Linked DNA regions of Styela clava. Each later gene encodes a partner of the first gene's protein in a complex. Links are inferred from orthologs where the notes say so. Each region holds a gene or a part of one and is shown on either strand. Other genes may lie near its edges.

Region 1 (17,255 bases):
CAGACAAAAAAAACGTTGAATCTGGTGGTCTGGTATTGCAGTTGCATAAACGCCAATAATTCTGTCAGTGTCGCTACAGAAATACGTGATATAAAACTATTGTAACAGCCCACTTCAGGAATGTCTATGTTTTTTTGATTATCCTATAAATATAATATTAACGAATAGCCAGCAATTGTATAGCCAGCTATCAAAGTCACAATTTTATGTTTAAGATCAATGCCTCTCGGAATTTGAATTTTACTTCGAAATACAGTAATATTAAAATGTAATTTTTACGTCATATTCAATGCTGCCATTTAAGTCATATTATGATGGCATAGTAAATGGTTCGAAGTCGCCCGCTATATTATCTTTGATCGCTGTTTTCGGTTAATGAGAAAAAAGCCCTTTACAAAAGAAAAATTAAAAATATAAATTTAAGATTTAAATCGGTGTTATTTAGTTATATGTGGCTTAGAATAAACATTTCACGCAAAAATATTTTTGCTCCAAATTCACTATTTATGTTATTTTATTGTTGCAAGTTTTATTAATCATAGGACATTATAAAAACAAAATATACAACTGCATATTGTACGCGCTTAATTACTTTCCTCTCAGACCTTTCAGAATATGGTTTGGCAAAAATGTACTCTATTGTTTGTGAACAAAGTGTAAAGCACAACTAATACTAAAACACATCGATTTGATCAATTAATTTAAAGCACGTTTCCCCAGTACGTTGTGGAATTTTGATTTCTTTCGATTAAGTAACGTCTTAAAAATTATGTATACATAAATTCCTGATCGGCCAAATTTATTCTAACGGTAATTGAAACGATTTATTTTGGGAAAAATATATTAATTAGATCATCAAACTAAGGTTGTGGCGCCAATAAACTAATGGAAAGTTCTGACATCCATCAGCGTTACGATCTTGAATATAGCAGTAGGAAATGTCATATGCCAGGGATTTAAAAGCAATCTCTGCTATTGTCTTCTAATTAGAATAATTTTGTGTGCTTATCGATTCCTCAAATAGACTTCAGGGATTGTGCTTGACTTGAATCCATTACTCAAAATAAATTGCATTTCAAAACAAATTGTTTATTTTGTTGTTTTCGCAGGTATAATGCCCGAACCTAATTAGCACAATAGAGATTAGTTTGTTCGTAGCCTATTTTCTCTAATCACACTGCTCCCGGGAGGTCGCCAGTGTGAGTTATGCGTGTGCTGAGGTCTCGGTAATTTTTCACAACAGCGCTTATAATTTGGTCGTACAGAATGAATAGGAAAGCCCTCATCGAAGTAGGTGAAGACGAGCAGGAACGCCGTTTACAGCTAAACAAGCTTTCACTTGTCGAACTGACCGTTCAAGATGAGTCGCGACATGGACAATACGTTATGGCTATCATTGGCAAGATCCGTGTAGCAAATGTAGGATTTGAAAAATTCGTATTTGCTCGTGTTACATTCAACAATTGGGCCTCATTTCGAGACTACAGTGGATCATATATAGAAAGTAGTCCAGACGGTACAGGTGACATCTTCGCCTTTGGATTCACTCGTCGTGATAAAACGTAAGAATGAAATTTGATATAAATGCAGATAAATATTTAACCTATTAGCTTCGATACCACTATTGTTTTGTAAAACAGACTCATGTTGCTATGACAATTACTACATAATTCATAGCATCAATTTAACATTGAACATTCTTCGAGTCCAAATAAAAGTTCTGGTTCCGGTTTGTATGCTCAATTAGGGTTCTAAAAGTAATCCGACACACATCCTTATTATGTTCAGCCGCTTATATGTGATTCGTGGATTTTCTCGGCAATCAATCTCCAAACCTCAACAAAAGTTGTTCATATATGTTGCAGTGTCGCATATTTCTGGCTGTAGTGTGGCTATATATAGCTCTGAAGCTGGTAGCTTTGTGGTGGGCCATGTAGTATTAAGCTTGCCTTTAGCCGGTTTTTCTCTCGTTCTCATTGTATTTTTATATGCAGTGATGTCTATAATATACCTCGAGCTGTTATAACTTCAATATACAGTATATCGATTATCCAAATACCTAAACTAATGTCAGTGTTTTTTTTTGACAAAGATAATGGCATTTCTACCCTTTTACGTTTCGTCGGAAGTTTATATATGTATTTATTAACACTGAAGGCGAAATGGAAATTTAGAAAAAATGGATTATAACGCCATCGGGTGATAAAGCAGTATCTGTTATAAAAAGATGAAAATGTCGTCAGTTTTCTCGTTTGACTTTGAAAACACATGGTACTTATGTGCCTTTTTATTTTAACATTTAAATGTCTCTCTCAACACCAAGCAATAAAATATATGTATCTAATGGAAGCTACATAATAGTTGTGTATGCATATAGATTTGTCACATCAAGATTAAGAATTTATGAGGTCGTTCTAGTAGTTCAAAGCTCATGTCAATCTGAACAATCTACATCAAAGAAATGTTATAAAACTAAATCAGCAGTCAAGATAGCGTAATCGTATTTACAATGTTATGATGTTATAACTAAATATAGTATTCCAACATATTAGCTTAATTTCTTCATGCACAAGTATAGTAAGTCTTTAGTTTTGCTTTCACCTAACCGATGCAGCCTAAATTCTTTTGTGTTTATGAAAATTATTTTCCATCTCTTATTTCAGGCCAGTCAACGTTGAATTTGCATTATCGGGCTCATTGGAAGGAAAAGAGTATTGGGAAAATAACAACGGTAAAAATTACTGTTTTCACTTAAGTGAAGATCCTCTTAATGACATAGCAACTGGAAAATCCGAACCGGGCGTTGTAACGACCTGGCGAGTAGCAGAAGGAAGTTCTCCAGATAAACAAGAGGAAATTGTCTTTGATACATCTAGTTATCCACATTTTGAAGCTCACCCCTTAACGCCAACCAAACTCAGTTATTATACGACGTTGCATCGGGCGCCAGAAGAAGAAGTTGTTCCCAGCAAAGCGCCTGATACAAAACATATCCGTGCCTTCAATGCATTGGCAATTGGAGAGTTGTGCGAAGTTGAAGACAAACCCAGCAATCCAGATGATGGAGCTATCGAGGCGACAACTGCTACTTTTGCGGAAACGGGTGTTTGCATGACCGGCGAAGAAACGCAAGATGGAATCGAAGTTCAAGCAACGGAACCGACACAAGATCAACAAACAGTTGAAGATCCCATTGAACCGATTAAAATCACCAAACCGATAGACGACGAATCGCCTGATGACGTTTTTGATAAATTAGAAAATCCGAAAGAAGAAATGCGAGTTGACCTTCAAATCATTGAGGAACCTGGTGACGGAAACAGGCCAGATGGTGAGAGAAAAGATACCGACTTGACGGCAAACGATGCTGCGGGTCAACAACTAACAGAACAAGACCCTGGTAAGAAAAAAGACAAAAAACAAACAAAGGATGAAAAAAAGAAAAAGAAAGAGGCGAAGAAGCAGGAGAAGAGCGACAAAAAGGAAAAGAAGTAAGTGTAGTATTCAGACTATTTTCCTTTGTTATGTCGAGCTAAAACATTTTTCGCGGTAATCGTAACGTATTATAAATAAATACGCCCATGGATAATTTCACGCGATCTGGTAGAGGCTACTTTTGCTAGGAACAAAATTGATACAAAGCTTATATATATACAGCATAGCCAGTTAATATGTAAATGCGATAATAACCATGCCTCTTAGAAATAAAACCCAGATTTATTTTTTCTGCTAACAATTGGATAGCCAGAATCTCGCATTTGGTTTTATGAAAGTTTTGATTAATATCTCAGAAAATCTAAAAAGAGCAAAGCTCCTCCAGTACCCCAAACTCAACAAAACGAAGATCAAAAACCAGATTCTGATACACAAGAACAGAAAAATGGAAAGGATAAAAAACCATCTCCTGATCTCCAAAATGGCGACGACCAATCAGTTTCAAGTAAAAAAGAAAAAATAGGTAAATCCCTTTGGATTGAATTTTTCCGATATTCTAATTGTACGAATAATGAGTTCAGTTTTATCGGGACCAACAAATTACCCTTGTTTAATATTTACGAGCTCAATATAACTTTTTACAAAATGTCACTTCATTGAGACCATTATTTCTATTGATCGACTCAAATTCCACACAAAATGACGTATTATCATCAATAATATGCGAAGTAAAATATGCAAATAGCATGTTACTTTTAAATGAATATTGTCCATTGAACTATAGAACTGGTTTACTGTAATAAAAATACGTTACAGAAGCACGTTTGAGAATGACGAGACGTAACTTTTCGACTAATTTTGCGGGACAAGCGTCATGGTAGATGCTTTCATTTGTTTTATATTTTTCCAGGAGACGAAGATTCCCCAAAGAAGCCAAAGAAAGGTTTTCTTACGAAAATGGCGTGCTGTGGAAAGGCCGAACCAGACTGATCTCGTCTGATGTGGTTGACCTATTACTTTGTTTTATGAAGAGTAAAACCTATAACTTTTTGTTTTATCTATGTCAGTATTACGGGTCATCGTTTTTGGCACTTGATGTACTAACTACTAATGCACATTTTCATAGCACTTCGTTTTGGCAAAAAAAGGAATTTTTATTTATATCGAGTGTTTGGTTGGGAATTTGGGGTAAGTTATATGGCAACGGAAGAGTTTTAGGATAACCTCAGATGATAGCAGAATTATTGAATTTATTTATGTGGATAGGAAATACAGTGTAAGAGAGTTCAGATGCCAGTGGCGTTCAAACTTTAAAAAGTTTTTTTCTTGGGTCGATTTGTGCGATTTCCCCTTTTTTAGCGTTGCGCGAAGCCTGATTGAACTAGGCTACTTCGAAGTGGTGATTCAGTTTGATAGGTGAGAGCACACTGTGTACTTTAATGATATAAATCATTATCTCTCTCTCTCATTCTTTTTAACCTATTCGGTTTGAAATGATTATAGAGGTTGTGTTTGGTTGTACCATAGTTCTTTACAGCTTACTTATCTCAAAATATCCCTATTTTGAGCAATGTATGATTCTCTGATCAAAAATATCTGACTGCACCAAGATGGCGCACATCCTGAACATAGTTTGTTTACCAGGTTAGGGTTCAGGTTGTGCGCCATCTCGGTGCACATACTTCGGGAGTGCCCTAAAGTCTATATAGTGTAGTGTAGAATCTACACAAACACAATATTAAATAAATATGGTTCAAATCTAAACACCTAAATAGCAAACTGGCAAACACTGAGAAGAAGTTCAAATTCGAACTTATTGGAATAAGCAGACATGTTTGTTTGCACACTTATGACAAAGTTGAAACCGAGAAACAAAACCTTAAGATTGGTTATTTACCACTATTAACTAGGCTTACCATACGTCCCGGTTTAGCCGGGACAGTCCCGGATTTGACATGCTGTCCCGGCCGGTTGACTCAAATGTCCCGGTTTGTCAGCACGGTTTTCATGGGTAAAAAATTCAAATTCATTATTATTACAAATTTTTTTTTTAACGGTGACAGCCCATTTACCACTGTTTTGCGACACACTTTGCTAGTTCAGAGAGAGAAATCGCTCTATTGTTATGTCACAATTAGCATATGTTTTAATGCGTTTTCTGGCGTTAACTGCAATGTCGTTAAGTTGTCGAAATGCCAAAAAGAAAGTACAAGTTTTCTGATGAGTTGAAGAAAGATTTTCCTTATTTGAAGCAAACTAAAGGAGGAAAGGTACACTGTACGCATTGCAGATTTGTTTTTCTATTAGTCATGGCGGACATTCAGATGTCAACAATCATATCCAAAGCAGGAAGCACAAAACATTGAGGCATCGACTCGACTGACCAATTTTGCGATAACAAATATTAGGATGATTCTGTGTCGTTGGCAGCCGACATTTACCTATCACACTGCTATTCATGACCAAAGTTTTGACTGCACCTCTAAATTAATTTCAAATTTTTTTGGGGCTAAATTTGCATTAACAAATATACACAGTTAGAATTTTTGATGTCCGCTGTCTGATAAGCGGATTCGCTGATTTTGCACGTTTAGCCAGAAATAAATGAGAGTTGGTGCATTGCTCCGCTGTTCTCCTCTGAATTTAATGATGATTTACTTCAAGCTCGAATGGCAACAAAACGCAGAAAAGTTGAAGCTAAGTGCAAAGGGTTCAAGCTGAAAATATTCAAATGGAATTTTTTGAGATGCAATGAGGAAATAAATCTATATTCTATTCGAGAGATGTATCACTGCATGATTTTTAATATAAAAAGTATCATCCGTTCAGTTTCAACTTTCTAAAAATATGTGCGGCCCGCCAATGACTCGCAACCCTTAATTTTGGCCCTCGGGCGACAAAAGGTTGCCGACCCCTGCCGTAGATGTTGCAAATATTCTGTCAGAGGTGAAGCTAAATTTGCAGGGAAAAAATTTGTATTTAAAAAGAATGTTTGCGATTTTTAAAAGAAATGTCTATCGTATATAGAGCTGCACGATGAAGCCTACAATGCTGCCAGGCCACACATATGGACAAATTTGAAGAGTGAAATAAACTGGACTGTTTGTGTTTGGTCTGCAAAATTGATAAATGATATGATTGGTTAGCTGATCAGGTTTTGAATAGCGATGCACTTTTCGACGAATACTGATAAAGAGATATTTATCTGAGCGTGGTTCAAATGCAATTTGACTTACTTTGCCGGTTGAAATTAAGTAGACAGAGATGTTTAACGTTTTTTTTAACAGAAATATTAGCATTTCGAATTTGCAGCAAATTGGTTGATTTTGTTTTTCGGAACATCTGTTAAAAGGATATTTTCCATTGTTAAAAAATTTTGGTCCGAAAGCAGGTGCAGAATGCCAGAAGAAAATATAAAACCACTCCGTAACCTGCAAATTTAATGGTGATGTCTCTTGTTATCAGTTTTATGACAAAATCAAAACAAGAATTTTTGAGAAAGGTTCCATCTGCGGACAAATACTTTTGGTCTAAATGAATAATACAAACTAATTTTTTGTGTTTTTTCTAATTCAATGATCAGTAGAGATTTACAGCCGTATATACCCGCAATGGCATGGTAGACGTTCCAATATTATCAAGACTGGCAATCGACCGAATGTTTGCCAAATCGCACCGTCCCGGTTTTTTGTTTCAGATTTATGGTAAGCCTACTATTAACTAATCTACTCAACATACAAATGCCTGTGCAATTATATTTCAAAACACGGGCATGATATAGCACAATTATTTATCTTGACTGAAACTGACTACAATAAAGGCATTGTAATGCACGTCATCAACATAATAGTGTTGGGCATGAATAAAAGCGAAAAACAGGAAAATTGTACACATTTTCTGAGCCATTCAGTCTGTATAGGTCAGGACAACATAAAGCTTGAAAGTATTTGCATCATTTTGTAAAGATTATTTGGCGATATATTTCCAAACGACTTGCTACATTTTCTATTGTATAATTTCATAGGTTCTAATATTACCGTCAAAAACAGAATATTAAACACGCACTGCCTGTTCTCCGATGTTAAAAACACGCAGTGTGCTAGTGAACGTGAGAATTATTTTGAATGGAAAATAAGCAAATTTAACAGACAATTAAAATATTTAAATATCTTGTGCTTAATTAATGTACTTTAAAGAAAAAAGTATAAGCTGACAGAATATCTTAAAGATGATAAGGCAAAACACAAAATGATTTAATTGCAATATTTATACAAGAACCCAGTTGCAAAAATACTCGAAGAATACTCGGCGGTATGGCGGTATCTCGAGGGGGATAATTATATGCGAGAGAATTGATGGACTCCTTGCCGCTGATGATTAAATCGTCTAATCGGCTTCCTCCGCCGCCCGGGATAAATATGTGAATCCTAAACCTAAACTCTCTCTCTTCCTGTGTTTTGAAATTCGAGTCAGTTTTGAGCAGTCAGTGAATGTATCAACTTTAGTGGTTCTCCTCGCCGTCTCATTTTCAAATAAAAGTACAAATAGGTAATGCGTTAGTCGATAAATCTTCATAATGTTTTGAAAACAAATCTTATATTTAATTATTCAAGTCGAGCCTTTGTGATCTGTCTCCATCATAACGAAGAAATTTTAACTGAATCAGATTTAACCGGATATCTTATTACAGACTCGTCAAAATCATCAATTTGATTCATACTTTTGGCCGCTGAATCTTTTGGAGACGGGATTTTGCAAAGAAAACTACCGTATTACTGTGTTATTGGGAAATAGGGTTCGAGTTGGGCGCTATTTTTGTCCCCTTTGAGCGCGAAATTTGTCAGCAAATGCCTCTCAGATGTGAGATACCGTCACGCAATCCAACTGGGTTTTAGCCTTCTCGAAAGACGACTGCGCCAGTCAAGACAATTCAATAACGAATACCGGTACCGCTACTGGATTAATGCTTCCCAGTTTTAGCTGCACATGCTACCGGTACTCAGCTATTCTTGTAGCATATTGCTGTATTGTATGAACGAGTAGAACATGGATTTATCAGATGATGTCCAACTTATCATCGATAGACTCACACATGATTTAGAAGAAGCACAACAAGAAAAAATTCAGGTAGGTTTATTTTTATATCTGATTCTGGGATTACCGTACAGTATTATGTTTGATCAACTGTACTGCTGTACTGTTGGCAACTGTACAAAGAATTGAAAAAAAAATTGCGGGATTTTTACATCATCCTGCGTTATTGATTAGTCAATTCCAACCGAATAATTTAGTTTTTTGATCAAGAATTTGAATATGTATTTAAATTATTCGCATAGGCCTATCTGCATATTCCACATTTCTAATCTAATGGTTAGTGGATATGCAGACTTGGAAACAAATGAAATATAAAAATTAGAAACAGTTAACATCCTACGGTAAACGTGGAAATGATGGACAACAGAAGAATATGATTCGAATATCACAGACCACTTTCGAACTATGACTTGACATTGTTGTAGGAATCATGCTGACGAGTTGTCACACCAAGAAATAAGTATCGATAAATGGTCTGGCATTTTTACTAAACTCTATTACCTACCTCTTACACCAGTCAGTACAGCACACTATCCAAATTCCAAGAATTTCCCTCCATTTGGTTAGATAAAACAAACACTCTATGTATCTCACAAACGAGGGGCGTCTGGACCATGTCAGATGCTTCATATCGCGCCATGCTTGTCTCAATAATAATCTTAATTTATCGCGGCCGTCACATGACCAAAATTGCCGTTTTTTGCTAAAAACTCTCGAATGATACGGTAAAAAAAATTTCGGTAAATTGGTTGATTTTTTTCCAAGAAATTCAATGATGACGATATTAGATTGCATTTTTTTGTAGTATTTTGCGCAATTTTATTGCACTGTATTATTACCGATATTGAGGGACAACAATGTCCAGATGTCTCCCAAAGGAGGGGTGTCTGATCATCTGTAAAATGGGTTTCTCTGGGACGGGACAATATCACCCAATTTGTATAGTGTGCCGTACTGCCAGTATTTTTTCGATTCCAAGTTCTGAAGATGTCCCGACATTTGATTCAATAAAACAAACAGTCTTTTATCTCTGACACCGTTTTCACCTCACACACTACTTGGCAGTTGTTTACCTCAATCAAATTGTCGGTTTGCTTCGAATGTGGCTGGTGTCCCAAATCCCAAACACAGTCCAATCCACTTCAAAGTAAACAGTCGTGAATTGTGACCCACCGTGTTTATTCATATTTTTTTTCAATAAATGTTTGTGTGTACAATGCGGCCAAACTGGCGCAAATATTACTATGTGTTTTAAACCTATTGCAGGTTTTGCTAGTTACCCCGATTTCCCAATCTTGTGGTTGTTCATTATTTTTGTTTTGTATATGTTTTTTGCGAGGAAATATATATAAACTCATCATCATTCCTGGAGCCCTATAACCGTAGAATTTCAGATTTTATTAACATATCATTGACAATATTTTAATTTCACAACACTCCATTTCTGTATTTACATTGTACTGTTTACCATTGCCACACTATCCTGCTTTTTCAAAATTGACTAGTTCATTTCTGTGAAGATATACTGGGCTAGGCTCTTGCACTTACTCCATGGTTTTCGAATCCTAATCAGATATGCTTCAGATAAAAAAAACTTTATTGAACTTTAAAGGTTTGCGAAGCAAATATTCACAAAATAAAAACTTGAGATATGAACATAACTACGGTGAAGTAATATTTTAAAATAAAGCCATATTAAGAAACCACAGATTGATAACTCTGTATTGGAGTATTGTTTATTTTTAAGTTTTATTTGCTTGAATTCTTATTTTTAATATTTCAGGCGGCTGAATATGGATTACAAGTCCTCGATGAGAAGCAAAAACTACAACAAAGATACGATGAATTAGAGGTTATGTTAGATTCTACTCAGAGAGAACTTGATGCATCAAAGAATGAATTTGAACTCAGCAAACGGGTATGAACTATCATAAGTAGACTACTTTTGAATTTTATATTAATGAAAAAACATACTAATACAGTAATTACGTTTTCAACTTTTTGAGTTAGGAATCAATTGTCTGTTTTTAAAACTATGCTTTGTACTTTTTTAATTCAGAAATAGTTTTTATGCAGTGAAACATTGTTAGAACTTGCTTTATCAATTTTTACATTATGAAATTATTTTGCAATACCAATTCTGACATTATGAAATGAAGAATATATATAAATTTTAAGTCTGTTCTACAAATATTTTTGAATATAACATGGGCCTAATTTTGTTGTCAATTTTGTTGATCAAAATCAGAAGCTTACAGATTGAGCCAATTCCAACTTATGCCTTTAATCAAGTAGTATTAAACGCTATTGAATATATCAATGCAATTCAATTATACTATTAGTTTGGGCCGTATACTATCTAGTGGGACATTTTTAGTCTTTTTGTAACACCTTCAAAGATTCATTCAAGTTTGTCAGAAGGCATTTTCAGGTTCACTTATATAGGATATACTGTATCTTTCTTTTTGACAGTATTTATGATGGAATTTTTTATTTGGAAGTTTAGGAATGTAAAACATTCAATCAGTATTTATTTATGTCGCATATAAGTGCAGCAAATTTGTGTAGCATAAATAAGTCCTGCATTCTATTTTTTAATTAAGCTTACTCTCAAAATTTAAGTTTGTATCAAGTCCCCATTACATTTTGATCTCTGTGACCCGAGTATTGAAGTAATTTGAAATCAACAATTTCCTGAAGTTGAGCTATACATCGTTTCTTTTTCCCTAAATTTATTAAATCAAATCAAATGTTTATTTATAATTTTTTGATAGTCTATAAACTTTTAAAATCCATATTTTTGAACTTGCCAATGTTTCTAAATAATTCTCATGAAATGGCGTTGTGGCGCATTATGCTAAGTGTTAGGAATAGAGGCTACCGCACCTCTGATTACCCTGCGTGGGTTCACAAGTTCGAATCCCACAAGATTTCCTCTCCCCTGGGATAAATATGGGAATCTTATTCTATCCTAAATGCTTAATATGACATTGGGTAAAAAGGGGACAAATCATATATTGCAATGAAGTTTTGTAAATAATTTTGATTAAAAAATATTAACTTCTTGTTTTAAAAATATTCTATTTGATCTAAAAGCTTCATTCAGTTATTTTAAACTTCAAATCACCGTGGCCATAGTATACTGTAGAAAATATGGAACTCTGTATCTGGTGAATGAAATATTTCTAGTAGGCCTACTACTAACTTATAACTATTAATAATTGCATTATGGGGGAAATAAGGACTATTTGTCATATTCTAATCCCATGGGGGTCTTAGTCATATTCTAATTTTATTCGTATCGAGTTTCTCTTGTTTTGGCCCTGGCAAAGTATCTAATTTACCAGATATCCTTTTGACATTGTCAACAGCTAAATGAAAATTTGACAATATGATGATAGATCTTCATAATTCAATAGAATAGATATTTATTTTTTATTAGGCTCTTGAAAACAGCCAACATCAAAATAAAAGAGTATTTCATGATGGCGAAACTCGCGAACAAACATTATTACAACAAAAAGAACAAACAGAAGAAACTCTGATTTCCACAATACAGGTGTTTATTCTTTACTATAAAAGTTATAACTGACTCTTAGTACTAGTCTTTAGTTCTTAGAGTTCTTGTCCACTATGGATTCACATCTCAAGCAATTGTTTTATTGTTCATCTCAGTACTGTAAATGTTTTTATTAGGTCTACAATGATTTAAAAATAAAAGACCGTAGACTGCCAATATAATGATGGCTTATTCCTGCATTTTTGACTCTGTGATATATATTTTCTGTGGTACTCTCGAAGTGTGTGTACCAGGTTAGGGTTAGGCCATAATTTTATTCCAATTTTTCTTATTTTAGTTCTATAACGAGTTCGGGGACTGTCTGTTTTAGTCAAGTGAATATACCCCCTGCCCATAGGTTTCAGTCCCTGTACACAACTTGATGTAAAGTAGGCAAACAAAAATAGTTAATTTACAAATGCTCATTACGTTTTGAGACAAATAAAATGAATATATATCATATATATATATTTGTATTTTTAAAAGTCAAAATTTTGTAATAGCTTCTAAAATTGATATTGATTTACTATATAGGATCTTGAATCTGAGTTGATTCAAACGAAACAAACCTTGAAGAATGTGTCAGCAGAAGTTGATGGATTATCTGCAACGAACGGTGAACTTGCAACGGTGAGAATTTTTCCTCTTCACAGCTTTAATATAATCCTTATAATAGTAAATATATAGCGCATGCGCATCTATGGACATTTTATGTAAAATTAAACTGGCAGTTGAATATTGTCAGACTTTCTTGAATTTTTCTACCAAAGGTAAGGTGTCAAAACCATGGCACCCTGATTCAATTCTGCCATTTTACGTTACTTAATAAAAAAAAGTATCACATCATGCACAATTTTGTATGATCATGCTTGAACCACCTCCATCTTGTCCGCCAATCTTTTCTACAAAGCAAGTTTTGGATTCCAAACCCTTACCTGTACTAATGGATGGCCTTAGTGGTCTTAACGTTACCGTTAATGACGTTAATTACTGCAGCGGAGGAATTAATTATCGATTTAAATTTGAATCTTTTTTATGATCAGATAACGAACTTATGTGTAAATCGCATGTTTCATTGGTTTCATCATTGAACTCTCGTGTGCATGTATTTGAGCATTGCTCTCTTATTTTGTATAGTACTATATGCCTCGAACCTCAAACTGGAATTGTATCCTAACTCAGAAGTTTTTTGTAAATGTTTAAGACTGATATTTTCATTTCAGTCTTATCAAACGCTTGAGAAACAGAAGAGTGCAATTAAAAGAGAATTAAAGGAAACAAGAGTCCGAGAGTCAAGGTTATTGAATGATTACACTGAACTTGAAGAGGAAAATTGTAATTTACAAAAACAGGTTCGTGCTGTCACTCTTCTTATTGATTTTACTATAATATGATGAGTTAGGAAAGTTATGACTATTGCTGGTTAATTCAAATTAAAGTCTTTGTGTTTGACATCGTAGACAGTTGTTTTCAACCAAGGTTCGACGACACCCTAGGGTTCCACAAGTTTACATACCAGTAGATATTTCTCAAATATAATTGAATACACTGGTATAATAAAGTATGTTTTTACTGGTGTGTTTGAAAGACCGTCGGCCGTTCTATGTCAAATTGTTGTTTCACATTTTTTAACGTATTTTATGATAGCTTGCATAATCAATAAGAGATTGAGATTCCGGAATGTTTCTTAGATTTTCCGTTCCACCAAAAGGGTTAAAAACCTCTAAGCTCTTAACTCCCAAAATTGTACTGCGGCCTGTGATTGGGCAAAATAATCATGTGAACTGCGAAAGAAGACTTGTTAGTTACTTTATTTGTAGTTTGTAATTCTACTTTGATTTTCTAAGAAGGTAGGCTATTGTAGTCTGTCTTTCAATTATTACAATTAGTATATGAAAAAATAGTTGGAGGCAGTTATGGAAAGAATATCCTTATACTTACTCTATAATGTACCCCCTGAAAAGTTCTGTACCCCTGATAGTACATGTAGTCTACTCCAGTTTGGGAATCCCTGCAACAAAATATATCTAGCATACAAGGCTAAAACTTGAAATTTGTTAGTTTACAATGTTGTATTTCACTTGCTATTTGATATTGCTTCGTAGCATTATTTTATAGCTATAGTTAAATGTCAAATTGTTAAACATTCAATTTAAAGGCAGTAATATTTTGATAAGCATTAGAAAACTTTCGATTTATGTAGGTAGAAAATATCATGTAAAGCCCAACAATTTAATATAGTCTTATTATCTCACAATACTCACTATGGTATTATTATCATAATTACGTTGTCATAAAATTTCCTTTTATTTTGTGGGATTTATGATAACTTTATTATAGGCGTATTGATCATAATTATCTAATTGATGAGGTAGTTGGCGTAATTATTTCAATCTAATTAGTAACAATTATACATTACACAATTGGAATTTTTTTTCAAATTATTAACCTACCAAGCATGGGCTGTATTTGGATTGTGCTATTGAGACACGATCCAGCTACGGCCCATGCTTGATAAAGAACTATTTCTGTTGAAGTTAAAAAGTAAAATACTCATTTTGAATTTTTTATCACCAAATTATTATTCTATCGGGCATGGGCTGTAGTTGGATCGTGCCGATGAGGCACGATCCAACTACAGCCATGCTTGATAAAAGACCATTATTGTTGAAGTAAAATCGTTTATTTATAATATTTTTATTCTAGGTTTCGGCATTGCGACAATCACAAGCGGAATACGAAGGTTTTCAACATGAAATCAAGCGACTTGAAGAAGAAGCAGAATTTTTAAACAGGTTGATAATAAAAGTTGGAATTCAAGCCTTATTGCTATTTCTCTCTTAGATCTTCAAAACTACTCGAGACCTTTTTTGTTCACTATTTAAATACTATAATTTGTGGATTGATGACCAAATTCACTTTTCTGAAATACGATGGCATTTTAATGATGCACAATGGAACATTACAGCATGAACATTGAACAAATGAATGAAAAATCTTGGAAGGAAATTGTGTAGTACACTCCTCTCTCTCCTATCGAAATGTCCATAATGTGTGGGGTTTAGAAAGGAATGATGTTGCCTGCAATATATACACATAACTGAATTTGGCCTTTGATAACATGCTTTGTTTACAATCTCTCTTTTGGCAGAATTGAATGTAAGCAAAAGTTCACAAACGACCTTGTTTGGATTTCTATATCATATGACAACACATCTCTTGTATTTCGCGCATTTACTGAATAATTTATGATTTATTGACCATTTAGTGTAATGCAATGTGTGTGGCGATTTTCTTGAATGGAAGTTACAGCCATGTCGTTTGGATTGTTGGGAAAATGTGAATTAAAAAAGGCATAATTTATCACACAATCTATCCTTTCAAAGTCATGTTTTTTGTTCTTGTTGGTATTTTTCTTATTTTGGTTATGAAAAAATCGCTTTTCCCATTAACTACTGGACCAATTGCTTTGAAATTGTCAGTGGTTTAAGATTGTTTTTTTCGCCATAAGGTTATTACTTTTATTTATTTCGAATTTTTTTTTCCATGTTGGTCTCTACAACTGCGGTACTGGTAGTCTACTGTGACAGATTGCATACTCATACTTCTTTGTTTTGGCCCTGGTTTCCATATATTTGAGCATCGCTCACTTGTTAGGCCCTTAATAGCCATTTGCTTAAAACCAGTTTTCGAGAAATAGATGGCGCTGGCTTGCGACTTAGCGAATAGATTTCTGATATTTATTATGTTTTATTTATTCATGATGACTTTTATTATATTGATTTTCTATTTCCAATGTATTCTACTCAAAAAAGTTTTTTGAAAAATGAAAAGGGTTTTATTCAATTTTCATCAGTCAACTTGAAGAAGCATTGAAATTAAAAGAATTATTAGAAAGCCAATTAGAAGAAGCTCTGGACACTTTGGCGAAAGAAAGAGAACATAAAATGGGATTGAAAAAAGAATTATCACAATATGTTAACAATATTTATGACACAAGTTTTGCGGTAAGTTTTTTATTGAATTTTTCTATCATTTTCTAAATAGATATCATACAATAATATTGAGACATTTTATTAATAAATCCATTATAGCAATTCATCATACAGTTCCTAAATTCACAGGGTCAGATTGATTTTTCAAATAATTCATCATTCAATGATAGTTTCCATGTTGGAAAAGATGGAAAACAGAAAAATAACAGGTGATTACATACTTATTGAATTGAAACAATATTTTCTATCCATGCTTTTCTCATACATCATGACATTTTTTTCTACTGTGCTAGTCTATTCTCAAATGTTGTTATTTTATATTAATTGCTGTTGAAGCAAATATGACCCATTATGCGATAATTATGTCCATATCAACAAGGTTTTCAACTACAATTCATTGAATTCCTGTATTTTTGTAAAATTTACAAGCAAAATCGACAGCTTACAGCAGTGATGCCTTGATAAATTGTTAAGAGCAGTTCTTTCTTCAATCAATCAGACCTCTCGTTAAATATTTTTAGTTTTATCAATTATATTCAAATTAGTCATCCATATAGATATGTATTGATTTCTTATTTAATATAATCAACTCATTTTTTCTGTGGTATGTAAATAATCTTATTTATGTTTCAATAATCATATAACAATATTCAAAATTCAAAAACTCAGCGTGAAAGAGTTATAGAATGAAAGAAAACAGATAGAACACTATCTTTTGATTTATGAAGTGAATTTATAATTTCTGTACAGTGTAGGCTATATTTTATGTATTTCACCATGCTGTTTGTCGGAGTCAAGAGTCTTGTAGTTGAGGTGTGGTGTTTGATTTACGGTACCGTTTACGGTACGGTATGATGACACCGAAGGCTAAAATCAAGGGTTTAAATCCTATGCCCACCTAAGGTCTTATAAATTACGGTAGGTAGGAATGACGAACCGGGAAAATTCTTAATATTTCAAATTGATAGTAGCTCATTAGCTAACAATGACTGTTTGTAAGAGCCTTTATTGAAGAGAAAGTTGTACAAATATTCATAATAAGAAAAAAATTATAAGAAATTTCAATTTTTTTTTTTTATCAATTTTGTGGTACTTTTTTACGTTTTCCAATAATAAAATGATAAATTTAAACTTTTTCACAGGCAAACTGAAGAATATGATGAAGATCTGGA
Region 2 (17,282 bases), on another chromosome or scaffold:
TCCAGAAATGCAATGCAACAAAATACCCGTTGAGTTATCACCTATCAGAGAATGCAGATGCAGTTTCAGATAGTTTTGAGTTAATTGAACTAAATCCCAATTGATATATTCTTGCCAATTAATATTCGATAAATATTGAACGTTATCAGGCATATGTAGGTTTGCATCCACAAAATCCTGTTTCCAGTCAAACATAAGTCCTTCGCCGGAGTAATTATGGTTACGGTATTCAACGAAAAACTCACAACCAGGATAAGGCACACTTAAAAGATTGAAATGAAGGTATCTTCGTTGGCGGTCAACTTTTTCAGAAGAAGTTACATTCATACCAAATTTAACTTTCTTATTCTCAACCATTAAATCAAAAATTGTGTCAACGTCGAGATAACGAAGAAGCTGAATGTCAGCATTTCTCATTTTATCAAGAAGCCATTCTTTGCTCTTACCATCTTCCGAAGGTGAATCATCAATTATTTGAGAATTAGAATGACTTTCTGAGACATTATTAACACCATTGGTATACAGGCCATTGTCAGACAAACATTCAAAATGATTTTCTTCAATAACAGCCTTTTCCTCATTTGCACCTTTTTCAACAGTGTCCATGTCCATAGATTCTCCTTTTACCCAATACCCATAACTTTGCCTACAATATATTTCCGGTGACCTAGCAAGAGTCGAAGATCGGCAAATATATTTTCCGTCAAGTAAAAGCACAGGAACAACAAACCTCCCCCTCGTTCTTGCAAAACGTCCTTTCAGTACATATTCTGATAACTTTCCAACCTTTTCTGATGATTTAACTGGAATGATAATTTTCTCAGGGTATGTGCTACACAAATGACCATCAGGATTATTCAAAACTTCACAAGTATAATCTCGTTCCATAAGTTCATGACAAGTTTCATAAGCTTTTGACAACATATCAATATCTCCATTTCCCGGTAGATTTTCATTGCTACCAGATATTGCAAATGATAACAAAGGAATCAACCGACTTTCATTGTCCGCCATGACAAGACTAGTATTACACAAACTGTAAATTAAAAACATTGTGTAAATAATAACTTTAACAAGTTGAAACACAGTATAATATAAATGATGCTTCATTCTACTGCCTGACATCTCTGGTGAGATGACTAAGGCAAGAAAGATGAGGTAACAAGAGATACAGTTCATCATATACCTTAATGAAGTAACAATATACAAGGGAAATTTTATCATCACATGGCTATATGAGAGGTTAACGTATCATAAAATAATGAAGAACAGTCAATGAGAAACAGTAAAAGTGAGTCATTGGAGACCTGTAACAAAACTTCAGTCAAATCAAAGTCGTTCTGTTTTTTTGTCATGTGAGCTCAGGGCAAATTGAGTCATTGGTTTAAATCAGTGGTTCTCAACCTTTTACTGGCCGCGTACCACTTTCGAGTTTCTTAACCTGGCTGCGTACCACCAACAAAACCCCATTTGTGGTGGGGACAATGGCACAAGAAACACGCTATGGTAGTATTTTATGTGGCTCCACCACTTTTTTACAGACCTTCATGCAAGTTTCGAAGTATTTATTGAATGCAATAACAACGTATTAATTGCGTGCAAAATTGCGTCATCAACCGTTAAAGCTGAAATGCTTTAATCACTGCAAAACGAATCGAATTAGGGCAAAACTCGGACGAATACACTTTGGTCGTCACTAGCCGCTATCACGAACTGCCTAACCTAGTCTCAAAATTTATTTAACCCCAAAAACTCAAGATTATGCTGATCATCCAACACATACATCAAGTAGCAATAGTAGCATCCTGGTAACCCAATCCTATAAACCCGTTCAGCGAATACATTTAGTATGTACGGTAAGATTAAGAGAAATTGCTTTTGCCATATTTTAGCCAACTCAAAAGTTAATTGTTGCAATAATTCAAAGCTGCTCGCGTACCACTTAAAAAGCTCCCGCGTACCACACTAGAATGAGTACCACAGGTTGAAAACCACTGGTTTGAATGGGCATGAAACAAAATAATTTCTTCAAGTGGACACAATCTTAAACATTTTATAGCTCTGTTGGTATAGTTAGCATATTCTCTTAGCACGTAAATCCCACACTTATCAGCCCCATGTGTGTTTTGTTTGAAGTAAATTAAGGGTGGAATTAGAATGCAATTCGACACTGTGTGCCAACAAAGGTCAGAAGATTAATGGCATATTTGAAGTTGTTTTTAATATGAAGCAGTTTTATAGGGTTTGGTGCTAAATTGGCTGGAATACAAGGACCAAAATTTAGCAATCTCAGCTGTGTCTGCAAATTTTAATTGGCAAATCTGTATTACCATGATTTTGTCTGTATTTTGACAAAGCTCAAATCAGTAATTTTGTTATATATATATATATATTCGACACCATTTAGTCATCATAACAGATGATAAAATATTTGATAAAACAAATAGATAGAAATAAATAGATTACAGCATCAGGAGCGCAAACAAAAACTTTAGTAAGGTTTAACACAAACAGATTTTTGATTGAAAGATGTCGTCTAAAAAAGTGGTCCGTATTCTCTCACATTAAAGTGTTGAATTAATATACACACACATATATAGTCTATAACCACAGAGAAATACAGCTGTATAGTAATTTTTTTGCCACACCATATGAATAATTGTGAGAAATGCCAAATTGAATACAGAATTCTGAAATTAGTAAACAGGAGTGAAGACATGTAAAGAAAAATGATCATTGAAAGATAGCACCATGCTGATTATCTGGATTATAGGCTAGTCTCCTAATGTTAAGAAAAAATAATCATTGAAAGATAGCACCATGCAGCCATGCGGATTATAGGCTATTCTCCTAACAGCCTAAGGTTAAATTGTCCAATCAGAATCGCCAAGTCAAGTTGGATGCATGAAGAGATGGGCTAGACATTTAGACAGCAGATCACAGTCCTCCCATTTTAAGATGTCTCGACATTCACCTGACCTTCCCTGCTGTGAGTGCACTGGGGCTCACAGCGTTTCTCTGTTTTAGCTCGCATGCAATAAAACACAGAAACGAGATGCTGAGATACCGGTACTGTATTGAGCGGTTTTTTTCAGCAAAATTTCCGTTTTTTTACCAAAAAAATACCCATGCAACATTAAAAAAATTGAGAATAGATGTATATCAGTATAAAACAGCGCTACCAATGATAATTAAAATTGACAATATACGACGTTTCTTAGTCAAAATTGGCGTGACGGTGTGGCTCATCATGCTAAGCATCACTGCATCAGGAATAGTCCATGCGGGTCTTTCTACTTCAGTACTTACTTAATAGAGCGCAGAAGAGAGGGGAACATTTTTCTTCCCTTATTTATACTATTTGCTTCCCTGAAATTTTAAACAATTTGATGGGAAACAGTATACAGTGGTAAGGAATGATCACAAGTTTATATCAGTTATCTTCAACATCTTTAAATAACCCAACATGACGCACCCTAACCTGGCACACATACCTACTGTGCTCAGGCTGTGCGCCATCTTGGTGCACATACTTCTGGAGTTCCAAAATTTTTTTGATTTTGCTCATTGGTGTGCTCATATTGTGTCACGTCAGGTTATTTAAAGATGTTGAAGATTACTGATATAAACTCGTTATCATTCCCTACTACAGTACTACTGTTTTCTGTTTCCCATCAAATTGTTTAAAATTTCACGGACGCTAATAAAACAAAAATGTTTCCCTCTCTTCTGCGCTGTGCTCTGTACGTAAGTAGTAAGACCGAGTCCATGCTTTCCTTTCCCCCGAGATAAATATGTTAATCCTATCCTAGGGTATACTGGTATAGGGTGGCTTACCCACTTTGCGGCCAAGACCTACTTGCGACCATCAACTTCATCGATTAAATTAAGGCCGAAAAAATTAACGAACCGAGACGATATTTCTCACGCGTTCTCGTCCACTTATCCTTCGTAGCTCTGCGAAATTACACTAAAATGCGGCGACAAACAAAAAAGTTACGACCGAAAACCCGACCGAAGAAAAAAAACGGACCATTTTTCCTTGTCGCCAACTGCCCATTGTCCCTTTGAAAAAGCTTGAAAATCCATACAAATATGAGAGATAAAAAGTTGAAACTTGGCGGGTGGGTAGAGTTCTGTTTCTTTTAACCATCTTTAAAGTTTCGCGTTTCTACATTTAAAGGATGGGGAGTAGGGGGGTGCGCATTTCCAATACGTCGATAATAGCATTGTCGACCAATTTGCGACCACCGCGTTTTTGTTTGTTGGATTGCTGTAATGCGGTGCTTTGTTTATAATTTGACGAGTTTTGTTCGAAATAACCTTGTTCTTAAAATATAGGACAGTCAGAAATGCAATTAGAAGCTAATTTTTTTTACGCATGGCTGCGTATGCCCTAGTCTCACGCAGCAGAAATGATGTTCAAGGCTTGAAATCCGTGGTTGCACACTGGTCGTTCGGTCGCAAATACGTCTTTAGAGTGTCGCACTTTGGTGGTTTGTATAGCTTTAACCCCTGGTCGTAGAAAGTTAATTCGAGGTTTAGCATGTAGAAGAAATGCCCATGCACCTACGGTGAAAAAATAAACGGGTTAGAAATATTGGTTTTTGTTTTATAGCGGTTTGAATGAAATCGTCCGCAGACTGGCTACACCACCCTATGGCCGTTTAAAATTATTGTCCGAAGTTTGGAACTGTCCGAAGTAGCCACTTTTACGGTAACAAATAGGGTACTGAAATACCAGAATACTGAAATAAGACTCATCTGGTCCTTCTTTACCATTGAGATAAAGCTAGCCGTACGGTACCGGTACGGTAGCCATTCAGTCATTCGACTTCCGGGACTAAAGGACTACGTACCGGTATCAGACTATGCACTGATGCAACTAGGCCTACCGGTATATCATAGTTACCGTACCGTACATCTGTATATGTTCATTCGCGTGCAATAAAACGCGGTAACTTATTGCTTTCTGTAATAGTTGTCGTCTGTTGATACGGTCCCGCTGATAGTCAGAAATGAAAGATTCACTAAACCCACTTCGCAATCGACAACCGCAAGCTGCTAAAGCTAGTCAGCCGGTCAACCCATTCGACTTCCGCGTTTGGAACGTCATATCGAGGGGAGATCCCAAACAGCAATACATAGCGATTGCATCAACTAATACAACCGAAATATAACGAAACCTTCCGACAGATTTGGTCAAAGGTCGTTGGAATGTTTTTTTCTTTCATGAAAGGCGTAAAGGTTACATTAGCGATAAAACTGAATTAATGTTGACTAAATATATTTTTGCTTAGTAAGATATAGTATAGCAATTGCCATAATATATAAAATTGAGAAAGGAAAACCTTGCGATCCTACCAAAACATGCAAGTGGGGCAAAGATCCCGGATAATCACGATCCCGAAATTTTGGCTCATTTACTTGTTAAGCTTACCATACGTCCCGGTTTAGCCGGGACAGTACTGTTTCTGGCGAGCTATCCCATTGTCACGTCCAATGGACCAGTCGTAAAAATTTCTTTTTATTCAATGCACCGTGTTTCTCCGAAAATAAGACCTACCCTGAAAATAAGACCTAGCCTGAATTTTGAAAATGATTTTAATATAAGTCCTCCCCAACGACTAACATACCGTCCTCCCCGTAAAATAAGACCTAGTGAATAACGCGAATTTTTTTTTTGACCTAGTCGATATCTCTTCTACGCGTTTTAAACTGAATGATTGATAATAATCGATGTTTTGCAGTTATTTTGAATAAAAACGTTTTATTTATAAGTAAAGGAATATCGGTTTCCATATTTTGTATATATGAAAATCTCGTAATTCTACTTTGTAATTTCGTTTTTGATGAATGCAAATATAAGACATCCCCCGAAAATAAGCCTTAGTGTTATTTAAAAAAAAAAGTGAATTTAAGACCCAGTCTTATTTTGGGGAAACACGGTAGGCAACCGATTTACCACTGATTTGCGACTTACTTTACTAGTTAATTGCGGGAACTTGATTTCTTAGCATGCAACTGACAGACTTAACCTGGTAAAAAAAAACTTGAATAAATAAATGTACAATTATTGAAACACTACTGATAAATTGACTGACCCAGAATAGCGTCACACAAAATGACGGTGAAGATGCCTGTTTTTGCCAACCGAACGCAATAAAAGTTTCACGCCGACTAGTATGTTTTATCCCAATTATAATTTCTGTGGTCGAGTGTGGCCCACACCTAGCCTACTACCATGCTGCGACGTCCCTGACTTTAATTCAATTTAATTCGTTTATTGGCGCTCCAGAAGTGTGTGTACCAATATGGAGGTAACTAATTTTGTTCGTCTTTTGAAACCTATGGGAAGGGGTATATTCACTTGGCTAACATAGAAAGTCCCCATCGTGGTCCATATCATATAACACAAACAAATCATTGTAAATAATTTTGTTAAATTCCATATAGACTACAGAGGTTTGTGCTATTAATTCCACGCTTATAGATATTGTTTCCATAAAAGTTACGCTGTCACGCGATTTAATTATCCGTTGAAATAAAGGGCGGTTTGCAACACTAGTGGCACGATTGCGGTCTGATTTTGTTTCTTGGGCGAAATATAATTCAACTTATATCCAGTGGTGGGATTCAGTTGGCACGCACCAGTTCTTAGAACCGCCTCACGGAATTTTATGAGATCAGCGAACCGGTTAGCATTACTGGTTACTGTCAATGTTCTGTTTGTTCTGAAAAATATGATATTTGAGAGGGAACGGCTGACAAAAAAATTGAATCCCACCACTGCTTATATCCTATCTCATCGTCCGCATTTTGGTAGTGTACGTTTCTAAAATTCGAAAAATGGGATTTGGGTTAGAACGTGATAATATCTGTTTTGTGTACTTTCTGAAGTATTGAACTGGGGAAAAAGGGTTGATTGACAACCAAGCGTCCAAAGCTTTTGTCCTGGCACCATCTTTCTACGACTTTCTGCGAAACCAGGTAAATATACGGATTGTGGTTCCAGTCCCATTGTATGTCCCTTAAAATGGCAAAATAAATATCTTGAAATTTTTTTTATCAACCTAGCTTGATGTATCTTTTTGTCCATCTTTGCCAAAATGAGTGGAGAATACTCCCGTTTTATTAGCATCGAAATATCTCAATTGAACACCACCGCACTAAAGGCACCGAGTTTATCAGCTAGTCGAATTCTACCCATTGAGGTTTATAAGATTCTATCCAATCTTGAGCTTCTGTGTCCACTTCATGTGGTACACTTTTTACAAAAACAAACTTTCATGTTTCATCTGAACTGAATTGATCAGCACGCTATTGTATACCAGTAGTGAGCGCCTTGAACCAATGTACACCTGTAAATTCAGATACACTACAGTATAGTTTTCTTGATAATTCGAGTCACTCATACACTTGAAAACACAAAACGGATCGCTGCGGCTTTTTTCAGATCTTGTATCAGCAGTGCAATATGCATGGTGGTGATTCGTAAATAACAAGTCAAAGATAATAGATTTTTCTTTCTATCGCATAAGTACTGGCTCAAACATTTCAGCCCGAATCAGGAGTCCTTTCTTCGCAGTTTTATTTTTATTCTATTTTTCTTTTATTTAACTCTGTCAATCGACGAATGAAAGGTAAACAAGCAGTCCGACCTAGCTAAAGGTAATTAATTATGTCTACAAAAGAAACATGTTGACGCTTCAAGCTCTTTTTAGGAAATAAAAATTGAACAAGTGGATAGTATAAAAATAAGTGGGTGTCAGGATTGATGATAATCTAGGCTAAAATTCCCATACTAACCCACTGGTCAAGAATTTATCGCAAACGGCTGGGACGCATTTTTAATTTCAAAACGCTTAAATCGGTTCCTTATTATAGTTTGTTTCACCCACGACTGCAATATAAAATTCTTAGTAAGGGTCAGCGACAAAATTCGTCATTACAGTTAAGTAAGTTTTACAAAATCAAGTTTTAAGGTGGGCTACATATCGTTTTCAGAGAAAGTTTACTGTAAGCATGAAACTTTGCAGAGGATGGAAATGTATTCAATGAAAAAATGCAAAATCTATGCGTCGACATGAAGATGATCTTCAAAAGGGCCTTTAATCACTATTTTATACTTTCAAATAATGTTCATAAATATGATATCCGTCTTAAAAATTTGGGTTTTATTTCACGACACAGGTTTTCCTTTCGGAGGGAAATATATTTAAAATTCAAGAGAAATACAATTCAAACAAGAGAGCTACGCCCAAATATATGGACACGTCTGTTCGCAGTACAGTACGGTGTACCGTTACTAGCGTACCGTCAGATCACAGTCTACAAATATATTCACACCAAGCGAAGCAGTACAGTAGGACACAAAATGGCGTCCGATGAACGCAGAACGTTTAATGACGTCATAGAAAACAAAAACAAAATCTCACAGAGCTAACAGGTATATTTAAAATGAATAAAAGTAATAGCCTTCTGGGGAAAAATTTTATCTTCAACCACTGAAAATTTCAAAGCAATCGGTCCAGTATTCGAAGAGAAAAGCGGATTTTTAATATTTCCACTAGGTGTGTTATTCTGTGTCAAATAACAACAAGAACATAAACAACATAATATTGAAACGATCGTTATGTTCACTACGTGTCCAATAATGTTGTCCATGTGCTGGGTGCTGTATTGAACGCTATCTGAAATCAAAAATTCATCTCATTTTCACATTTCATTATGTGCATTGAAGTGTAATTTCAACTGCATGTATATAGCCTCCAAATTATATACCCTCCCCAGAATGAATGTTTTTGTCCTCAATACAATTTACTCAGTGGTGGGATTTAAGTTATTTGTCAGCCGGTTCCATCGCAAAAGTCATATTTTTCAGCCGGTTCTGAGTTGGTGCGAACCGGCTGAATCTCACCACTGAATTTACTGCTAATGGCTGACTTTCTTTTGTAATAAAACAACATCAGGATTTTTATTATTGAATCCTTACTAAACAGCGCCAAGGCGGCTAATTTGACCAGGAATTTAAGCCTGATAAACTTTCGGGCTCAGTAGCCTGCCCGCCCTGCCGAGTGCCGACAAAACGAAGACCGCTAGAAGTTTTGATATGAATATGAAGCATGTCCGATCTCAAATGTTGCATGACATGCATTGTCCATGATCCGATCAAGATGGCATTGCCCTTGTCATGTTTAATCAAGCGTGTAGATTGACTTGTCACGTGACACATTGACTGTCGTTTTCACTATATTTTTGGAAAGATTGCTTTGTTTCGGTTTAATCTGGGGTACGGTATCTGTGCGATAATGCAACGACAGCTTGAGTCACGCCCTGTATTATGTTTAGTACCACTGGAGGACATCCACTGCTAAAAGTAATTTTCAATAATGCCACCTTAGTATCAAAAGATGAATTTAACGATAATTTAGTTTACCACAAATCTGTCGTATGGTTTATAACGTTGACAACAATCCGACAATTGCCAGATTGCTGAGTGAGCCAAAATCTGAAGCTGCATTTACTGCGGATACTCGAAATTTTTTGGTATAGTTTATATGGCAGTTTGGTGTCATTACCATAACACAGTACCGTAACATTTTTATGTCATTGAATAACAATTTTGCAGTTTTGGTTAACTGCTGTCAGAATATCCTCAATCAAAGTGACTGGTAATTGTTATCACATCTCAGTCTGTTGGCCCAACAGTCTGCGATGTAGTAAGTTGTGATATCTTTATATCCACGGGTTGTTGAATTGAATGGCTAAAGGGTAAAATGTATCGGATTACAGGATTAGTGAAAACTGGAAGTGAATCGTATTTGATTTTTAATTAATATGTCTTACATAACCATACATGGATAGTAATATGTTTGGAACAAAACGGTTGGTAGTTTGGAGCAAACGATTCAACTTGCATATCTAAAACTTTGCTATTGCGTTAAGCTGCTACATTTTTTCAAAGTTTTGCTAAATAATCTCAGAATCTGCCATTTTGAATTTGCAGATTAAGCTTTATTATTCCTTTAGGCAATTGTAATTCTGTAGAAATTATAATTCGTATGGATCATAATTGAATATTCAAAGATAGTTTTTAAAGCTGTAAAGTTAGATCGCCAGTAAAGTAAGAAAATACTGCAGTATCGAGACAACTTTCGGCATGCAGTGAAAATGGTTTTATCATCAAGACAACGAGATGAGCTGTAAGTTCTTGAAATTTCATGTTCTATAACCTGAGTAAATCTGCAAAAAATTGCAAATGATTAATTCCGATCCAGGACTTCAACCTACAGACCCAACTGGCTAAAGAAGTACCGTAAAACCGGCTAACTTCGGATGATTTCACTATATTTTGAACAATATCTCCGCCGCATGTTGTTCAACTTAAGCCAAATTTGGAATATAATACATTGTGGCTATTCTCGTCTTGATAAAGTCGGTTCCATATCCATCAAAGCCTTTTTTCATTGAAATTATTGTCTTTATTCGTCTATTCTAAAATTATCTAACTTCGGATGGCCACTTTTCTCTTTGCGTCAACTCGTCGTGAGAGAGAAATGTCTGCGTAAGCAATGACGCGTGACAACGTCGCTGAATAGTCCTTACGCCGCCACGACCCGTCTTGCGTGTTGCATACTGACGTTTGTACGTGACGTTACTCTTGCCGCTTCGCGAAACTTAACTATTTATTCTTGTGTCCTTTATTATAACTCGTATATATTTCACTAACTACTCCTAATTTATTGCATACGGTATCTATCGGTGTCGGAGGAAGTATGCAAAAACAAAAATCGACAAATTTCATATGCATTAAGCGTATGCATACCCATATTTTTAAATAAACAACATATGACTGAGACGATAGTGATGTTTTTGTAGGATATAGTGACTAGGATCATGGATAAGCATAATTTTTAAATTTCACAAAACTGCCGCGATGTCTGGCGTTCAAATGTCGCAGCGAGTAACGCACGAGCTACGCAAAGTGACGTCGGCTACGAAGAGAGAGAAAGGGATTTGCGTCGTTGACGTCACGCTGTACGTAATCATCAAAACGTCGATATTTTGATGTAATTTTTAAATCAAAATAATCGATTTCACTCGAATCTCGTACGACACCTTGTGATCACTGTATTTTTTTGTATACATTGTGTACGCTCTCTAGCGCTTGGCGGTGATTTGACGAAAGTAGCGTCTGTAGAAGTCACGATTTGAGCCGCTTGAAAAAACGGTGTCATTTTTTTGGTAAAATATGATTTTTTGAATGATAAAAAATCAAATCGAGCGATTGGAGGCTACGGCAGATTCAGATATGTAAGGCCTTACTATAGAAACCGACAGAAGCGCAATACGACGAAATTTAGTTGAGATATGAATGATTGAAAATTTCATCCGAAGTTACAAGGCATCCGAAGTTAGCCGGTTTTACGGTATCTGACATACTTCTGTACTTCTTGCTTCGATACGTTTCAACTGTTTTAGTCTTAAAATCCCAGTATAGTAATTTTGATCTAATAATAGATCTAATGATCTACTAAAATAAATAAACTTGAATTTGCATAAAAATGGCTGTAACATTTTTAATCCTTGTTACGTTCTGTCTGTGGTAACATTCTGACATTTGTGCGATACATTCACTCTCGCTTCAATTACACAAATAATTATATTTTCAGAAACAATGCCATATCAGAATATCTCCGATCAAATGGGTATGATAAAGCCTTCAATGCCTTCCGAATGGAAGCCAACTTGGTAAGTTTTCTTATTTTCAATATTTTATAATATAGATAATTAAAAAGTATCCTTGATAACATGAGTTTTCCACATGATCATTCGAATTTTGAAGTCCCAGTGCATGGATTTAAAGTAATAGTATTGCAGTAATGTAGTAATGAATATTGCTACCAATGGGTCAGAGGAACTGGAAAAGGTAAACAAAACTTGATAAGTCTTATCTAATTAGTTGTTTGATTGTATAGGTTTGTTTCTTAGTCCCAGTGTGGATCATCTCATTATGATTTGGTATTGCTAGTTGGCCTTTGAATCATGAGCTATTTTTTTTTTATAGTCTGAAAATATTGACAAGAAATATGAAGGACTCATGGAAAAGAAATGGACATCTGTTGTTCGTTTACAGAGAAAGGTAATAATCAAGAAAGACCAAAATAATGATTTAGGATTCAGAATCTATTTAGCAAAATAATTTTCAATATGGAATATCAGATAGGATCTTCCACACAACAGTGAGTTCACTGTTTTCAAGTCATTATTCATATAATTTGACATTAAAATACAGAAAGATAGAGATAAAAATAGTGTTGATTGGTTAATTTAATAATAATATTGCCCAATACTTAAAAGAAACATATCTCAAAGAACAATATTATCACCGGTAATCCTAAATTCGAATCTACTGGTATTTGGATCTTGCTTTGGATATCCCTAGTATTGTTTAATATTTTTGAATTCTCATTATAGTTTTGATGATGAGCAATTGTGGCCGCATTTAATCACATACTGTGTTGATGTTGCAGATTTTTTCATTGCCGTATAATTTCAAGTTCTATTTTAATATCTTAATCTTTAAAATGTTCTTATATTCAGGTCATGGATTTGGAATCCAAATTGAATGAATTAAAAAATGAAAGTAGAGATGGAATTGTCCCAAGAGATAGAAAAGATCCGGCAGAATGGATACCACGACCACCGGAACGTCACTCATTAAGCGGACATCGAACACCGATTACGAGAGTAGTTTTTCATCCTGTGTATTCAGTATTTGTATCTGCTTCTGAGGACACCACAATAAAGGTCAGCTAAAAGTTTTCAATATTTGTTTAATTTTTTCTAGTGATTAAGTCTTGCTGCTTACTATCACAGATATATTTCTGTAACGTTTCGTTCCAAGTGCTGAGGAAGTATTATATGCATACCTGAGCATAGAAGAAGGATGAGTAGTTAGTCCCGCAGAAACCAAATCAAAAGCACATTATTAAATTATTGCTACTTTTGTAGTTGATTCTCTTGTTTAATAATCATAACGAAAGTGAATTATCATGAATGGCAAAATCTAATAGTTTATTATCCCAAATAATATATATAATAATATTCTTGAATTTTGAATATATTCTTTATTGTTGGATCATGTTCAACAGAGAAATTTGCAGAAATCAAATTTACAGAAATGTGTGAATTTATTGAAATTGAATTAGGTAATACAGTCTATACAGAATATTTAGAATAAGCACTGCTCACATTGATAAAGGTTTTCCAGTGAAGGGAGGTTTAAGTCTATTTACGTCTGAGCATCAAATGTCAAATGCCTAAAATAAAAATAAAATTTAAATATGTATTTTCTAACCATTCATTAAGCTCACGCATGTATTTATTATATTGAATCTCACTAATTTCAAATATATTCAATTTGTTTCGGATATCCTTAGTTCCAATTTTTGTCTTCATGGTTATATTTAGCAAATACTATTTGTCTTTGAATTCATTTATTTCATCCACAAAAAAGTATTCTCATAATTTCTATCAGATTTCTTCTCTAAGCAAAATCAGTAGGAGTTTTTATAATTACCATACCTAACATTTCAACAGATGTCTGAATTTCCTCATATATACATTCTTATGTGCTAGGTAAGGAGCTACCATAGATTGAGGGACCAGAATCTTTCCATTTTTGCATTGCTTTTCTAATTTTACACTCTGGGTGAGATGGTGGGCATGGGTTTTTAACCCAACATTTTCACCTGACATGCCATCAAAGTAAAATCTAAAAGTAAAGTTGACCTTCTTAATTTTCAATCAGTTTTATTGCAATCTCATTTGAATTTTTGATTATATTTATTCAGGTATGGGATTATGAAAACGGTGATTTTGAAAAAACATTGAAAGGACACACAGATTCTGTTCAAGATGTTAGTTTTGACAGTTCAGGAAAACTTTTAGGTTAGTATCAATTTTGATATGACTTGATTCACCAAAAACAAAGATCGTCTTACCCCCAGTAGGTCAGTTTACACAATGGTTTGCTCTGCTCTTCACATCATTTACAATTTAGAAAACCTATGAGTGGTTTGTCACGTTTATTTGAGTGCAATAGTTGGCGTTGTTCAGACTGTATCAAAATTGAAATATACAATCTGTTGGAATATCATTTGTATCCAACATTTGGACTCAATGTATCTAGATTTTACTTTTAGTAATCTATTTCCACCTTGCTCGAATACTCACATTTCACATCAAAAGAGGTTGACAGCCTTTAATTCTTGTACGTTGGTCATATCAACTTTCCAAAATTTGAATATAAATGAATATAAAGAAATTCATCAAGCATTAAAATTTAATTTTTTTTACTGAGGTGACTTTTCGTGTGTGTCTACCTAACATTTGTTTCAGAATTCCTCTGTATGTATGTATTAGTATTAGCGCTTTATAATACTAGCAATTTCAAATCCTTTATTTTTTTTTAAATTTGGCTTATGTACATACATCCTTTTAAATTCATGCCTTCCTTATAATACAAATTACCTTGATACAAATCATTTTGTTTGTATTTTAGCATCTTGCTCTGCTGATATGACAATCAAGATTTGGGACTTTGACGCTTATGAATGTACAAAAACTTTACATGGTAAGACATCAGTGGAAGTTAATAAATTTTTCAGTTTTTTTAGATACTATCATGATGTGATATATTTGAAACTAATTATGTATTCAAATACATTTAGGATTTGGTTGAATATTGGTTATAAAGTTGAAGTCATTTGAAGTTGTTACAGTTCACACACGGAGTTGGGCAAAGTCCGAAAATCCTTTTCGCAAAACGCCGCATTGAAAAAAACTATGTACTGTTTTTAAAAGACCATATTATATTCTTACATTTAGTATAATATCCCAAATTAAAGATTCGTAAAGAAATACATTAGATGCCACTTGCTTTCAGTTAATATTCATGAATAAAATAATGTCAATGCGACTGATGTATTATTTGATGACTGACATCAATCAATTTATGAATCAATGCGAGAAGTGAGATTTACTAATTTTCAGAACTGACTGCGGATTTGGGTCAGTAATAAGATTTCTCTTAATCTGTTCTGTGAGAAATTTTCACAATATAGTCTCAAATTAAAGGGGGCGTACAAAATGCTTTAATACTGTGTTGTAATTTAACAATTGTATCATGAATTGAAATTGGCAAATGGTATATTTAAAATCAGATATGCAGTCAGACTTATGTCTAGTCATATATATATTCCACTTCTTTTCTCCTCCAAACATGACTTACTACTATATTATGTAATCAATATCCAAGATTTATAAATAGTTTCAATATTTGAGCCTTGGCCGGCCCCGATATTCTTCAAATTATGCTTACACTTTGAAAATCTTTTTTCCACGTAGTACCTTTAATAAATGTATAATCATATGCATACCTACATCGTGAATTGGTGTTTGAAAGAGATACCATTTGAAAGTGTTATAGACTATAGTAGAATTTGCCTGCACTATATGCCTGCTGAAAACACTCCCACCGTTAGTTTAAATTATTTATGTGAAAAGAGTTGTTTCTTGCATAAAGAATAAAAGGTGACGCAACTAACGTTAGGAATATTGTTTGCATGAAACAAGATCAGTGTTTAGGATCTTCATAATAATTCCTATTTAAAAATTATTTTTCAAATTAAGACTTTGTTAATAAAATTATGAAAATATATAAAAATCAATTTCGAATCATAATTACTGTGCATGAAAGATCAATTCAGAATAATAAAAACGTTAAAATTTTATGTAAAATATTATAAGGTACTCTGGAATATTGTAAGGCAAATAATTTTAGTTTCCAATTCAAATGGACTGATTTCACTGAATTTCCACTTCACATTTATGTATTTAATTCTTACGGAAATTTCTAGGTAACATATGAATTTTTCCAAACCAAATCAGGAAAATACTGTTGGGTAACATAATTTGTGATTTATAACATTTAAAAATGGTGGATTTCTAGAAGAACAAGTTATATTGTTTAAAAAGTAAAAATTGACGTTTATCTGAGGATTCCAAGGAGTTCAGTTCAAACAAAATACAAACCAAAAAAATTTCCATTAATTCTTACAGATGAAATTGCTATTTTATATAAAATTTATTGGTTTTGCACTGCAGTTATTAACAAAAATGTTATGTTTTTTATGTAGCAGGCTAGGGTTCCATTACATTTGAACCCACGACAATTGCACCGGCATACTATTGCACCTATGGATTTTTTTTGTTTTACGAATATTTGAACCCAAACTAACCCTAACCCACGGGTTTTAGCACCCGCATATAGATTGAACCCACGGATATACACATGGGTTCAAATGTACGGTCACCGTGGGCTATATATAGCTCTTCAAAGTACTGAACTATTTGGATATAAACATGTCCACAGGTTCTAGTATTTGTATTTTAATCATCAGAACCTGTGCATAAATAAGCCAAGTAACTTGGATGTCATTGAAATATTGTCTTTCCTAGATAAGAGTAACCTTTTTGACCTTGTTAGACCATTAGTTTGCTTTGGAAGTAAGGGCTTTCAATCCTTTTGTTTGTGTATATTCGATAATGGATAGCATTGTGCCTTTTCGAATTAAAATATTATTGTAGCAATGGTTTTTGTGCTTATTATGAATGATAATATGAAAGTAAATTTATTTCGATTATATTATAATATTATATAAACAAATGGAAAACCTTGTATTATATGGATACAAGACAACCTTCAAGCTTTTATATTCTTTCTGAGTTGTGGGTAGATCAGAAACTAATTCAAATTACAGTGCAGTTTATGATATAAAATATGATATATAAAATTCAACTCAATAAATATCCTGAATAAATATTTTTGTTTTTTTTAATCGAAACAATTCAGTTAGGTGATTTTCTAGAATTGTTATATATTGACTTGAATTTCATAATATGGAAAATAAAAAATTTAACTTATCAGTTATTAAGAAAAATGACATCTTCCAAATAATAACATCCTACATTCTTTCACTATATCAGGTTAATTCTTTCTGATAGTGTAGTAGGGATAATAAATGTAACATAATTGTAATTTCTATTGCAGGACATGATCATAATGTTTCATCAGTTACGTTTATGCCAAACGGGGATCACTTGATATCAGCAAGTAGAGACAAAACAATGAAACTATGGGAGGTTGCTACAGGGTATGGATTGAAAAAACACTTTAAATTTCAACATTTTCTTTCTATAACGATTCAAAATTG

What was found.
Region 2: protein bicaudal D homolog 1-like (region 1) and platelet-activating factor acetylhydrolase IB subunit beta-like share a complex: the UniProt entries of both Caenorhabditis elegans proteins name them as parts of the dynein-regulating complex. The link is inferred for Styela clava from reciprocal best matches to the Caenorhabditis elegans genes bicd-1 and lis-1.

What each region holds. Positions count from the first base shown.
Region 1 is NC_135256.1:9,836,127-9,853,381, reverse strand, and holds the start of protein bicaudal D homolog 1-like, read left to right. Parts: upstream 1-8,053; 5' UTR 8,054-8,481; coding exon 8,482-8,562; intron 8,563-10,312; coding exon 10,313-10,447; intron 10,448-11,971; coding exon 11,972-12,088; intron 12,089-12,622; coding exon 12,623-12,718; intron 12,719-13,311; coding exon 13,312-13,440; intron 13,441-14,794; coding exon 14,795-14,883; intron 14,884-15,944; coding exon 15,945-16,095; intron 16,096-16,212; coding exon 16,213-16,292; intron 16,293-17,225; coding exon 17,226-17,255. Other genes in the region: uncharacterized protein LOC120328503, read left to right, coding at 1,267-1,562, 2,664-3,491, 3,792-3,958, 4,346-4,425. UniProt on the Caenorhabditis elegans protein: Part of a complex with dlc-1 and egal-1, which is recruited to the nuclear envelope by unc-83, where in turn, it recruits dynein to the nuclear surface and regulates nuclear migration in hypodermal precursor cells.
Region 2 is NC_135250.1:20,620,271-20,637,552, forward strand, and holds the start of platelet-activating factor acetylhydrolase IB subunit beta-like, read left to right. Parts: upstream 1-9,991; 5' UTR 9,992-10,173; coding exon 10,174-10,205; intron 10,206-11,675; coding exon 11,676-11,754; intron 11,755-12,070; coding exon 12,071-12,145; intron 12,146-12,606; coding exon 12,607-12,813; intron 12,814-13,859; coding exon 13,860-13,956; intron 13,957-14,569; coding exon 14,570-14,641; intron 14,642-17,119; coding exon 17,120-17,222; intron 17,223-17,282. Other genes in the region: phosphatidylinositol-3,5-bisphosphate 3-phosphatase MTMR14-like, read right to left, coding at 1-1,224. UniProt on the Caenorhabditis elegans protein: Positively regulates the activity of the minus-end directed microtubule motor protein dynein. May enhance dynein-mediated microtubule sliding by targeting dynein to the microtubule plus end.